Stegostoma tigrinum: one gene and its partner. Each later gene encodes a partner of the first gene's protein in a complex. Links are inferred from orthologs where the notes say so. Each region holds a gene or a part of one and is shown on either strand. Other genes may lie near its edges.

Region 1 (7,588 bases):
AAGTAACCACCTTTAGCACAACTTCTCTTCCTCCAAGCTTTTTACCATATAATCGCTCAGCACTTAGTACTTCATCTTCAGACTTGAACTTGACCAGAGCCTCCCCTAGTCCAATGCCATTACTATCAACAAGTATTCGGATCCCATGTTCAGCAACACCAAATCCCTCAAAGAATTTATGGATCTCAGCTTTGGAGATATCAAATGGAAGATTACGAGCATAAATATACAATCTTGGGGAATGCGCTCCTTCTCTAGACGGGTACATTTTTTCTTCAATTCTATAGGCAGATTTTTCTCTTGATCTTTGCTTCTTAATAGTGTCCATCAACTCTATCATAGCTTTTTTAGTGAGCGGATATAGATAAACTGCACGGTTTGCAATGTATGTCTTATGGTATCTTAAAGCTTTACGCATCTCAGCATCATTTCTAAACTTGACAAAGCATTCCTTAGTATTTTTACCATGAGGATCTTCTACAAGGTAAATCTGGTCATCTGTTATGTTTAGTTCATTAAAGAAATTTCGTACATCTTTTTTTGAAATACTATATGGTGTATTTTTTAACTGCATCCAATAGTCTTGATCTTGAGGGGAATAAGATCGAGACCTGTGCCTTCGAGGTGACCTTGATCGAGTTTGAGAATGGAAATGTTTATTTTCACGATGAGGGGAACGACCTCGATTGTGTCGGTTTAGATCCAAATGTCTATCATCTACAAACAAATCAGATCCCCCAGAAATCCAGTCTAGTTCTGTAGCTCGATACACCTCGACAAACCTTTGCCCCATGTATTTTTTGTGACGCTTTAGTCCCTCAGCTGCATCCCAAGAACTGGCAAACCGTACAAAACACTCTCCATTATTCAGACCTCGGTAATCCTTTTGTAGACGAACTGCTTCCACTTGTAAACCATGGAAGAATTCTCTCACTTGCAGCTCTCCTGCAGAATATGGCATGCCTTGCAGATGCAAATAAACATCATCAGTATGAAAAGCTCCTTGCTCTCTCCTTTGATTATAAGCTGAATCAGCAAAACGATCCATTGACCCAGAGCCATTAAATTTATCCAAACTATCACTCATTGCTCCAGAGGTCATTCCAAATAATGCAGACATTGAGGAACTAGGAGCAACTGCAATGTTCTGTGGAGAAGATAAGGCCATTGTCGACATATTGCCACTCATCATTGGATCCATACGAGTACCATAGCTGTTCATGTCAGAACTTCCAATTTCACCAGGATGAAAGGCATCCCTATTAATTTCATGTTGCATTGCTGCAACTAAGTTTTCAGCTAGTGTAGAAGACATACTACCTAAGCCACCTGTGCCAGAATTGCTGAATCCCGACCTTCCGTAACTGGATGTTTCTCCACTGGGACGTGCATATCTCTTACGACTCATCTCAATAGTACTCTGCATTTCGTTTCTGCTACTTAATGTTAGCTTTGTTCTACTCCCTTTAAGAAATTCACCCGATCTCATCAAAGCAAGCCGTGCATCTTCATCTGTAGCAAATACAATGAATGCCTCTCCCAGTTCACCACCAATTATATGCACCCCTCCATCAGGAATGGTTAATCTAGAGAAGAAGTGACGAATATCCAAGGTTCCTGCAGAAACTGGGAGCCCCTGCAAGCGGATGACCACAGCCATGCTGAACTCTATCAATAGAAAATGTTACCTGCAGGCAAGAAAGGCACACAGGATGACGTCAAATTATGTCAAAAAAGGTTCTGGATACTGCATTAACTTCCAAATATAATATTAATAAAAGTCAGAAATGTTAATTTTAAGAATAAAACAGATTCTTCTTACTCTGCACAAATTTGTTTAAACGTTGACCTTCAATTCAAAAAGTATAACCAAATCTCAAAAGCTCCCAACTCTCAAACCACCAAAAACACTAAAGTTGTCTGTGAAAATTCTGAAGATATCTTCCAAGCCACAACAGTTCTCCACAAGATCTGATGATGACTGAAATTGTCTTTAATATGAAAAATGCCTCAATTTTAAATCAGCCACAGCACCTCAGTGGAATTCATCTCGAAATTACATGATAGATCTAAGTTCTAGTAATACTTCAAAACTGCTGTCCAAGTAAGTGCTGCTAATTAGTACTGTATCATTCCTTCTCCAAACAAGGAATGTAAAAAAGGACCTAGGGTTAAAGTTCAACTGAAGTTAGCTAAAAACAAAATACAGTCTATTTTGCAAACTGCAACCATGGCTCTTTATATAAAGAGTCCATCACATCTTTTCTCCCACATGGTAATCCACCCGTCAAATAACTTCACTCCAGGCTTGGACAATTCCTATTTATTGTATTCTCAAAAAAAATACAAACAAACCACCTCAAACTAGTAACTCAAATTTTCTTTTCCCTTCACGTATTGCTCTGAACTCTGCAAACGACTCCAGATATAAAGCAAATGCAAAATCCTAAAATCCACATTGGGGCATTTTCAAAATGTTGTAAATGACTCCAGGCAAACTGAAAAATCCACTACTGCACATAATTCAGCAGTCCACTTGAGAAAGAAGTTACTTGATCTAAAAATATGTTTCTTTCAGGTATATCACAACATTAATGTTTTCGCGAAGATCTCGGGTGCTGTAGACTTGATTCTGTAGCAACTCAAAGGCAGGTTCAGCTAACAATATAGCGTATGCATTTAATACAACTAGAATTCTTCTTTTTTTTCAAATCTTGATTCTTTTGAAGTGATAGTCCTTACGTTTATGTTTTTGTTCCATAAAGGAGATTGAAAGTGATTGTTCTGGAGTTGCACTTTGTATACACAGACTCTCACCATCTGTTCAGAACACAGATTCCTGGTCTAAATACTAGTTAAAACTATGGGCAATAGGAATAATGCACATAATTCGGTAATAAAGCAAAATTAAAGCAACAGTCGCAAAAAACCGAATATGCACTTTGAGAAGTTTAGATTACTCCAATGCGTTGGGCTAAACAGCAGTGAACAAATATAGCAACTCAACTATTGTAAAAATAGAAAGATCAGATTCAAAATTTTGTTGCCAACTGTCGTAATTCATTTACAAGCAGAAAAAAAATCTAATATGCTACACAGGACAAAGTTAAATACTAACTGTGCATTATAAAATATATCTATTAGTTCAATAAACACAGTTTTTTCTTAACTGCTGCTTCACAATGAGATGTAAACCTACACTAAAACACAGAAATTGTGATGCACAGGAAATGCAAGTGCTCTGCAGCTTGGTGTGCACATTAACAAATTTTAACCCATGCATGGCTACTTCAGAAATGATACATTTATTACAAGTTTATTTTCACTTTCCCTTTGGTTTGAAAGTCACTATTCGTTACTGAATCGTGACATTTGCAATAAAGAAACTCAAAAGTGTCAAATGGTTATGCGACAATAATAAAGGTTTATAGTTTATCCCAGTTAGACAATTTTCAGTCACCTACCATTTGTATGACACTAACCTGTAAAAAGGTTTCTTTTAAGCAGATGCTTGAACAGATTCGTTAAAATCAACTCTACAGACTGCAAAACAAAAGAACAAGATTAAACCTGTAATAAATCCATTTCAAATCAAAATAATGGTGGGTTTATCGAGTTATAAATTTCAAGCACCTGCCATTGAACAAACTTTATCTAATTAAAAACATTTCAATAAAGTTATTCCACACCGAAAATTCATTTCATTGACTTGTGAAAATTTTGCTATAACAAAAAAATCCATTTACAGCAGGCCACGACCTTGATTAGAGAGCATTACTTTCCCACTATAACAGAAATAGCAAGTGCTGAAAATTGATAAACGGCTTCAAGAATTAAATTCTTCTTTCCTAGAAACGATGATAAATCTAAAAATAATTCAATAATTCTGAGAAACCGGCCAGTGTTATCAAACAATGGTTAATGCCAAACAACTCAAGGCAAATGATCAAATGTCTGATGAATGATTAAGTCAAAGATTCAAGTTTTGATTAGCATTTTGAACAGCATGAAATGGTTGAGAGGCTCAGCAGGGAATTCAACAGCTTAGTGCCTGCAAATCAGTGGATTCAAATCAAGGAAGTGTATCAAAAACGCTTCAATGCTTTTCCAGATCAAAATGACGGGCTATATCCATGTCGATCATTAGTGATTAAGACAATTAAGACCGATATATAATACAGCCTTTTCCTTTGAAAAGCCGTTTCTGATTCAGAAATGCTTATTTGCCTCAGAAAACTACATTCAAAAATCACTATAGCGGGTTTGGTAATAGAGCCAAATAGACAAGCAGGGTGCTTGACAACGTTATCGGGAACTGTTCAAACTCATACCATACTGAATGAAATAAATCCGTTTCCCAAGCAGAATCGTTTAAAGTGTTTTGTTTCCCAACCCCACCCCCCAGTATTTTTAAGTCTTCGTTTGTTTAAATCGCAGGTCGTCGAGATAAAACGGTCAGACAATTCAGGTCAAAGGTGGAACAGGCGTAGGTAACCTCTGCAAGGATTCAATTTATTTAGTACGCAGCCCACTCCACGTGAACAAAAATGTTCGTGCGGGCGGGAGCTGCAAGCCAAAGGGAAAAAAACCGAAGCGGCAATAAGGTAAGTGGCTGGGCCTGCACTTTTACTACATCCACTCTCCAAACTCCCCCGCCCCAGTTCGGACTCGCTCCTCTCCAGCAAAGGCCCGGTTTTTCCACCCGACCCGGAGAAGGGAAAGACGCCCGCCGCCTCAGCATACGAACTGCTGCTTCCCAACACCCACCCCTTTGGAAAGACAGAAAAAGCCAGGTTAAAGGGAGGCAGTAGCCCGTCTACACCAACTAACCCGCCGCCGCCGTCGTCGCCTGGTCTCTTAGCCACCGACACGATGGCGCTTCCGCCGCCTCCGGAGAGAGAAGTCCTGACAGTTCTGTATCCAAATATAATAAATCAAAGCCCCATTGCTTGGGCAAACTCAAAGTCGATTGAGGTTCAGAACTCTACAGTATGGTTTGCCGATTTAAGTCTTGTTTTTATCTAGACCAGTGATCAAACGTTGTCTTTTTTTCCAGTGGAGTTATTTTGAAGCGGGGAGCTGTCAGGACCTGCTGCCTGCCCCGGTGTATTTTGGGAGAGCCGGAGGGCGGGCAGAAGAGACGGTTGGCTGTGGCAATGGGAATCGGGGAGGCGTTCCAGTGCTGGCTACTGCTGTTTCTCTTACAGCTACCGTTTACCCAGACCGTTATCCTTTCCATGCCTTTCCAAACCGCGAAACAATGCACCAAGCGAGAGTATTTTGACATTTCTCGTATGGTGTGCAGGCCGTGTGGCGCCGACCAGCAGTCAAGTAGCGATGGTGGGTAAAACTTGTCAGATGGTTTTTGAGGGCAGGGGTTGGTTGGTGTTTAGCGACAAGAAATAACTCCGCATGAAAAACGTTTGCTACGTAGCAGCAAGTAGGCTAGGCGGAGAACGATCGGTTTTTACTGGTTGAGGAGCCTACCCGACGACACAAAAAAATGACCGAAGGGAAAGGCCGTTCAGCCCGTCATGGGCATACTATCTCATTAATTAAGCACCATTATTTGACTCCAGTTGCCTACTTTTTCTCACCTGGATGTTTTGGAGATTAAATTAGGACACTAGCAAAAGATGGTACTCTTCCAAAAAAAAACGACAGTTGATCATTTTTAAATTTTGAGTTTGATGGTGTTAGATATCAGGTTGACAGCCGAGCACTCCGTCACGTATTTAACAAAGGTTTAGTAGTTAACTGCTCTTGTTGCTGCAATCTGACCTTGCATCCTCAGATCAGGTGGCCCAATATACACAGTGATCTTTTCCATTTTGGATGCAACTGCCAAATAGTAGGGCCTCCCAATGTTCCGGGGAGGGAGTGTGGGTTGGGCAGTGGTGTTAGCTGACATTTTCAGGTAGCCAGTTGTGGCAGCAATGATCAAATGTCCTTTCCCCGTCACGATTCCCTTTCCCCTCATATTACCCCACATGCCATTGATTTGTGACAATTTTCTATCCTTGCCTGGTTAGGGTCAAGTGGGAAAATGTTTGAGAAGCACTATCATCTCTAATGCTTAAACACTTCCCTCATATGTGTATTTAATTCGTTTAGCAATGTCACAATGAAGGTGTGCATATGAATGAATGCTTCTTTAGCCTCAAAAGGCAAAATGGCTGGTGTCTTCATTTGATTTTTCATAACTGTCTTGAGGTGCCCATTTATTTTTCTTCTGCACTGGAGTCATGCACTGAGACCATGAGATGTAGGAGCAGAATCACAGACTTGTTATAGTACAGAAGGAGGCCATTTAGCTCATCATGCATACACTGTTTCTATTACCTGTTGCCAATCCCTGCTTTATTCCCACATCCCTGTATACCATTTTTATGCAAGTAATCATACAATATCGTCTTAAACACCTCAATTGAACCTGCCTACAATGCATTTCCAGGTAGTTCATTCCATATGTAAACTATCTGATAAAATTTTCTCATGATCATTGCCTAGTTTGTGTATCACTTTAAATCTATGCCTTCTCATTCCTTTTTCTTTTACAAGTGGGAACAGCAACTCCCGACTTGCTCTATGCAGCCTACTCATGATTTTGAAAACCTCTAGCAATTTCCTCCAGCCACCTTCTCTCGAAGGAGAACACTTCAACTTCTTGAAATATGCCCTCGTCACTGAAGTCTCTCATTCCTGGAACCTTGTTTGTAAATCAGTTCTCAACTCTGCTTTCTCTGTGTGCCATAACTGTTCAGCTATGGTTGAACAAATGTTGTACAAGTTCAACATCACCTCCGTACATCTTGTATTCTGTGCCCCTGTTAATGAAGCCAAGAGGGCTGTATGTTTTATTAACTGCTCTCTTCACTTGTTCTGCCACCTTCAATGATCTGTGCACATAAACACTCAGGTCTTTCTGCTGCTATCTCTTTTAGAATTGTAAGCCCTCTTTCATGTTGTTGTTGTTGTTCAATGTTCTTCTGACCAAAGTGCATCACCTCAAACTTCTCTGTATTGAACATTGTTTGCCACGTATCTGACACTCTACAAATGTGTCATAGAAACATAGTAGATATAAGCAGGAGGAGGCCATTCAGCTCTTGAGCCTGCTGTGCCATTCTTCACAATCGTGGCTGATCATCCAACACAATAGTCTAATCCTGCTTTCTGCCTTTGATATCATTTGTTCCAAGTGCTATGTCTAGTCGCCTCTTGAATGCATTCAGTGTCTTGGCTCCAACTACTAGAATTTCCCTGGCTCACCATTCTTTGGGTGAAGAAATTTCTCCTCTTCTCTGCCCTAAATAGTTTTCCCTGAACCTTTATCCTGCAACCCTGGTTCTGGACACACCCACCATCGGGAACATCCTACATGCATCTAGCCTGCCCACTCCAGTTAGAATTTTATAAGTCTCTGAGATCACCACCCCCCCCCCCCCCCCCCCCCACCCCGCATTCATCTGAACTCTAGCAGAAACAATTCCAACCTAGTCAAGCTCTCCTCATATGTCAGACCCACCATTCCCAGAATCACCTTTGCTGCACTCCGTTGAGAGCAAGAGCATCCTTCTTCAGAAAA
Region 2 (7,004 bases), on another chromosome or scaffold:
TTTGTTCCTCTCCATTTTTTCCTCTCCATTTTTTTTCCTCTCCATTTTATTCCACTCCATATTTTCTCTCTCCATTTTTCTCTCTCCATTTTTTTTCTCTCTCCATTTTTTTCTCTCTCCATCTTTTTTCCATTTTTGTCTCTCTCCATTTTTTCTCTCTCTCTCTCCATTATTTTTCTCTCTCTCTCTCCATTGTTTTTTCCATGTTTTTTCCTCTCTCTCTCCATTTTTTTCTCTCTCCATTATTTTCCCATTTTTTTCTCTCTCCATTTTTTTCTCTCTCTCTCCATTTTTGTTCATTTTGTTTTCTCTCTCTCTCCATTTTTTCTCCATTTTTTTCCATTTTTTTATAGTTTTTCTCAGGTTTATTGGGGTCTCCAGGGGGTAGTGGCTTCCATTGTTTTTTATTTTTTCTTCCCATAAACCCCCCCACACTACCTTCCACAGAACCTTCCCATCCTCACACCCATCCCACACGAGCCGGCACCACATGGCCATGGGGGCGGACTGTGGTGCCTACTGGCCTCAGTACCCCGGGGTCTGACCCCCACTCTAGTTTGCTGATGGCTTCTTGCTAAAGGGGAAGGGGGTGCTGTTGCATCAAACGTGAGAAATACTAAGTAAGTATTAAGGGGAGAGTGCAGAAGTGATATATAAGAATAGTTCCAGGAACGAGGAACTTTACTTTGAGGATAGTTCGAAGAAGTTGGGGACTGTTCCCCTCGGAAAGAAGAGGCCTGAGAGGAGATTCGATGGAAAGTTTCAAAATCATGAGCGGTCAGGATGGAGTAGATAAGGAGAAGCCTGTAAAAGGAACGTGAACGAGAGATTTAAGTGTTGAGAGGAAAAAAATACTTGTTTTCGCAGCGAGTAGTTAGGGTATGGAATGTACCACCTAGAAGTCTGTCAGAGGCAGGTTCACGAGACATTCAAGATGACATTGGATGATTATTTAATAGTAATAGTTTGCAAGTGTATCGTGAAAAATCATGAGACTGGCACAAGGGAGTGATGTTATTCGAAGAGTTCGAGGGCAAATTGGTCTCTTTCTGCATCATAACAATTCTGTGAATAATCAAGCTCTGAGACTATGACGCTTGACCGCTGTTGTGAACGTCCACATGTTTTAAAAAGAAAACAGGGAGAAGATAGTGGGGGCAGGATTATGCACGTTTAATAATTTGTTTCAGAAAGATTCATGTCAGAACTTTGATAAATCAGAAGTTAGAGTTTATTTTTGACGTTAAATACAACAATGAACCAAAATAGAAGTTGCTGGAAAAGCTCAGCAGGTGTGGCAGCATCTGTGAAGAAAAATATTGGAGTTAACGTTTTGGGTCTGTTGACTTTAACTCTGATTTTTTTTCTTTTCAGATGCTGCTAGACCTGCTGAGCTTTTCCAGCAACTTCTGTTTTGGTTCCTGATTTACAGCATCTGCAGTTCTTTCGGTTTTTATTTTGTATCGATGAACTGGATAGCTTAACATGAATGGTAGGAAAGATATACAACCCACATGTAACAAGGAGTGCAAATTACAGTCAGATTGCCACTCAGTTCCTACTTTCTTCCATTAGGACTGAGCTCCACATTTCTTGCTGGCAATTCCGATCTCAAATCTTTCAGGATTACGGAGCTTGGTCAGAATGGCAGTGTTGGGGAGAATGCATTTAATCGAGTCAGGCTGTGGTTGTCAGGAGTCCAGGGTGATGTAGTTTGGGAAGTCAATGAGGAGTCATCTTAATATTCATCCAGGTGTTGGATTAGGTTTTTAATCTTTTAACATTTCCTGGATAATTATCAGCTTAAGTGAGATTGTTCTGAGGAAGGGTCACTCAACCCGAAATGTTAACTCTGATTTCCGTCCACAGATACTGCTAGACCTGCTGAGCTTTTCCAGCAATTTCTGTTTTTGTTTCTGATTTACAGCATGTACAGTTCTCTTGGTTTTTATTGAAATTTCGATTAGTGGACTCTTTGAGGTTTTCTAGTACAGGGGAATTGCGTATTGAAAAATTCCATTTCCTGGACAGTTTCCACTGATTCAGCTGCTTGGGTATTCTGCATGATCATGACATGCAACTCCTGTCCAAGCTGCATCAATGATTATCTGGCCATTGGATTATTTGAGCCAATGAATTCTCAACTGAAAGTGAGAATAGAAAAATGTCTAGGAAACAACATCTTTTGGAGTGATGAGAATTTGAATTTATGGATTTCGTGAGCAAATTTAATGCTTTTATCACAATCTTGCTCTGCCTTGAGTCAGCCAGAATAATGTTTGAATTCTTGCATTGTCTCCACATGCCTCCTGAAGGATCTGTTTCATCTTCACTCTCTTGGCACTGGCCACTTTGCCATTCTGTGTCTCCATCTGCCATGAATCACCTGTTGAGCCCTGACTGGCTCTCCTAGACATTCCAATGCAGTCATTACCTTACATTGACAGGGGAATCCTGGCTAATTACCCTGCTGCCTCCCCAAGCCATTGAGTTCATCACAAGGCGAGGTTTCGGAGCTCAAATGTAAGCAGCTGCTGTCCTGACTGAGAGATGACTAATGTCATCACCTGGGGTTTGAACAAGAAATGTTTTGGTCTATATTGGCAAATGACATCTTGTCATCCCAATTGAGTTACCAGGAAAAAAGCCTAACATTTTCAACAGGTCAGATGATGATGGTAGCTCTAGTATATTGTGGAAGAGACTGGAATCAGTTAAGAATTGGTTTTATTAATCAGCTCAGTTTAGTGTCATGAAGACCTTGGTGGGATTCTATTTGCCTGGCAGGAGAATGGTTAGAAAGCAATCTCCAATCCCTTCACTTTCTTCAAGCATTATTGTTCCACTGACAGTGAAGGGCCATCCCTACAGTGCCAGCTTTAAGAGGGAGAATATTCATCATGTTGTGTTTTACATTTGGTGACAAGATTTCCAAATCCTGCCCCCGTCACAGCTGTCATATGGATAGTCTACGAGCTAATCCACTTTGTGAAGGATTTAATGTTGGATTAGTTTGAAGTAAGGTCACTGTTGACCCATTTACTGAGATTCGCAGATCACAGACACCATGAAGAAGCAAGCGGTGAGAAGCTAGAGTTTAAGTTTGATCTGGAAAGGGAAAATCATTTTCATATTTGTGACACGGTAAATCCCACTTGATGGTACAAGAAACACTAACCTTTATTCACGTGCTGACAGGGTTTGTGTGGATTTCATTTTTTTGTTCTGTTTTTATTTTGAGTGCTGGCGTGAGAGATGTTTATAGCAGAACTTAGAGAGTTCATTGTGAATAACACACTCTTACCCTTGCATTATTCTCAATGAACTGTTGCCAGCACATTGTTTTCTGAAGAAGGGCCCAGACCCGAAACGTCAGCTTTCCTGCTCCTCTGATGCTGCTTGGCCTGCTGTAATCATCCAGTTCTACACCTTGTTATCTCAAGATTCTACAGCATCGGCAGTCCCTTCTATCTCTCTCAGCCCAATTTATCAGCAGTTTTCTTTTATCAAATCAATTTTGAAGAAAGTGAAAGTTTGTATTTATACAGTTCCTTTCTTTTATTGAGACGGCCTCAAAATTTTCATAAACAACCTACTATCTTTTTCAAGTATGGGGTAATATTCACTAAAATTCCACAAACAAAAAATGCAATATACGATCAGAAAAACTGTTTATGGACCTGTTGTTTCAATAATAAATTTTGGCTGTAACAAGAAAGGGCTCCTTTATTCAAACAGGATCATTTATGCCCTTCTGAGGGCAAATAGAGCTGCAGTTTCATGTTACATCTGGAAAAGCACGTCTTTGATAATATCAGCCTGGATTGTGGCCTCGGGGTGTCATAATGATTGTGTCAGGAACTGTGACAGAATGCCCCCGACAGCCTTCAGATGGTTGATTTGAGTCAGGAATTGACAGTGGCATGCATACTGTGTAATGGTGTCATCCTTGATATTGACGATGACTTTCTGTGGTTTTATTTCAGCGCCCACCACGTGCACTTCCACCAGTGCCAAGGTAAGACTGCTAAGAATGGAGCTACAGTTGTGTGTCACTGCCCTCTGCAACTGGAGAGTAACAAAAATGTGATACTGTGATGGTAAATATTTTGGTAAATTTTAGATCTGTGGTGGGTGGCTAATTTTAGTGGAGGTTGGGCAGTGGAACAGAATACAGGATCACTGAGTAGCATGTCAATGGCTGGTCCTGGGCTGTTGGAGTGCGTTGGTAGGATTGGCTTGGCGGTCAGGCTGCTGGGTTGTGAGACTGAGACTGTGTTTAGTATTAGGGCTGTTAAGTACTGATGCTGAGTTGAAATGGCTGAACTATTGGGTAGTGTTGCTACATGATAGGTATTGGTTAGGTAGATAGTGAGGTGGGTTAGGAATGCACTGTGTATTGCATAGGTTGGAAGCTAGCTGAAGTTAGTTAGCTGAAGAGTGGGCTGAGTCTTAGTTTGCTGTGAGCTATGTGTTAGGTGGGTAGCAGGCTGGGTGGTGACTAGCTGGGCAGTGGGCCAGGTGTTGGGTGAATGGATAATGAGCAGGGTGTTGGCGAGCCGGGAAGCAGGTTATAATTGTGGGCTAGCTGGACAAGTGGGCTGGCTGTTGGGTCATGGGTTGGGAGTTCAGTTCTGTGATATGAAATACAACAATGTATTTTTTCTACATTTGTGATTTGGTATCTTTTCCCTTTGCTCAAAGATAGTTGAATACATTAATTCTTTCCTGTGACTGAACTTGAATATTCTTTATACTAGTGGTGGAATTTGATGAGAGGAAACCATTATTATAATCCTGGAACTTACATCCACGAGTATAGTTTGGCAGCATCTAAACACCATGGACAGTAGTGTTTCAATAAGACAGCCAACCATACTTTCTCAAGGGCAGTTAGGTTTGGCCAATATTCAGCCCGCAAAACCTGGATCTGTTAAATGAATTTAAAAATATGACTGTGGAGTTACGTAGAAGATCACAACCTCAGTTTCTGGTAGTTGCAGGATCACCTGGAGCATTGCCATTATGTGCAACAGGAGGGTGTTGTTATAAATATTTTTGCCTAGTGTTGGTGGCAGCAGGGAAATCAAGCATGATTCATGATTCCTGTTTCTAACTGTCCATCTGTTAATCCCAGCTGGATGCTATGTAAGGTTGACTGTATGATAGTTGACTGTGCCACCAGCTTGTATTACCACTTCGATGAGACAAGATTGGCCAGTCTGTAACCATGATTCCTTGTACCACAACAAGAATCAGAGGCTTCAGGATTGAAGAAGAGAAAGATGCAAGGAATTTAAAATTTCAGTATGTGGTAACTCATGGAAGACTTGTGGTCCAGTGGGCAACATATCTGCCTTTGGGCCAGGAGCTCCAGGCTCAAATCAGACTCCAGGACTCAATGGCCAAAGAAGGTAATTTTATAATTTGGCCAAATCGGTTGCGTATCAATCCATATATGCTTCTGACAGACAGCACAAAGGTTGTATGGTATTGCTCGAAAGCTGTGTGATGGAAAGAAATAGAGACTCTGTAGTCATTGTCTGTAACTCCAGACTACATCATATACATAAAAATACATGTTCTCACGCCAGTGTGCACTCCTTGGAAAGGACAGATCGGCGTGCTTGATGCCAACAGCATGGGGTTTAATCCTTGTTTTGACTGAGGCAGATTTGCAACCTGCCTCCTTATCCTGCCTGTGTTGCAGGTCCTGCTGCATGTGCGTTGAATTTCTCTCCAGGCAGAGAATTCAAGAAGCCAGAAATCCAAACTGTAATCACTGGGAAATATTTTGCTGTTGTTGATGACAAATTATAACTCCAGCATAATGACTCAGCCTCCTTTTGGAGATAAATGGAAGTTATGTCTGACCATCCTATTAGTTGCAGAAGAAAGAAAAGGCTACGGGTTCCGTTAGCAGGTAGCTCAAATGCAAGGAAAATAATGTTGTTGCTCTGAGAATTGCTGTCTTGGATCTATTTGGAGATGTGTAGTACTTGCTGTAGTAAGAGGTTATTGTCTTTCAAAGGGAGAAGCAAAAGGTGATGTTTTGAGATGCTCTGGTTCAAGTTTTCAAGATTGTGAAGATAATTGAAAAAGTTGATAGAGTGCAGTTGTTTACATCTGTTAAGATTCAAATCCCAGGGGAATGGTTAGAAAATGATGAACTTAGGAGTAAGAAGGAAAATCAAAAGTCCCTGTTTGCTCAGTACCTAATCCAGTTGTGGTATATGACACATAGGGAGAAACATTGAACTGGAGGGGCCAAGGAGAATTTAGATGAGCACCTGGAAGGACACGGGATGGAATGATATGGTGATATTCTGAATAAGTTATATTGATGAATATAGACAAGACCTGTGAGTTGAGGTGTTCTCTGATAAAGGAGGACATTTGTTGGTTTTTCGTTTAGTTAATGTTTTACACTGTGTCTGTATGCTTACCTTGTTTATTTTCTTTCTCTTGGCTGATGGACCTGAAGCACCAAAGTCAAAGGTAAGCCTTTAATTTTAACCAGTCCTCCCACAGATGTCTGTGATGACTTGTTATTTTATTGACAGTTCTTGTTAAGTGAATTGGTTATTTAATAACTGGTGGACAAAGGAACTGCTGCACCTGTTTTCTGTCCAGCTATTGCTGCAGATGGTTGCAGATAATTTGTGCACCAGCTAAGAACAGAACTGCATGCAATAATCATGGTTGTTGAACACCAGATATTGAACGCTGTTTAGACAGGGACCAGATTGAGAGGCATCATTATCCTGCAAAACGATCTTTTAATCTGAATTTAGTAAGCTTCCTTCAGAGTTTTTACTTTAGTTAGTGTGCCTTCAGGGTTGTTGACACTAATTTTGTTTAATTTGTTTATTTTAAATAGTAGATGAGTCCAGCATATGCTTTTCTCGTCAGATTTTTATTCTGATTTGCCACTGACAACTTCACCACCATTGATTACATGTTCCTTCTATGTAAATACACCCAGTCAAGTTCTCACCCAATTT

Evidence for each region. Proteins that work in one complex are often made in the same cells at the same time.
Region 2: tmem67 (region 1) and transmembrane protein 237-like share a complex: the UniProt entries of both Homo sapiens proteins name them as parts of the tectonic-like complex. The link is inferred for Stegostoma tigrinum from reciprocal best matches to the Homo sapiens genes TMEM67 and TMEM237.

What each region holds. Positions count from the first base shown.
Region 1 is NC_081358.1:90,652,828-90,660,415, forward strand, and holds the start of tmem67 (meckelin), read left to right. Parts: upstream 1-4,494; 5' UTR 4,495-4,604; intron 4,605-4,830; exon of another isoform or gene 4,831-5,056; 5' UTR 5,057-5,156; coding exon 5,157-5,340; intron 5,341-7,588. Other genes in the region: rbm12bb (RNA binding motif protein 12Bb), read right to left, coding at 1-1,660. UniProt on the Homo sapiens protein: Required for ciliary structure and function. Part of the tectonic-like complex which is required for tissue-specific ciliogenesis and may regulate ciliary membrane composition.
Region 2 is NC_081360.1:20,407,626-20,414,629, reverse strand, and holds the start of transmembrane protein 237-like, read left to right. Parts: upstream 1-3,961; coding exon 3,962-4,018; intron 4,019-5,328; coding exon 5,329-5,414; intron 5,415-6,484; coding exon 6,485-6,498; intron 6,499-7,004. UniProt on the Homo sapiens protein: Component of the transition zone in primary cilia. Required for ciliogenesis.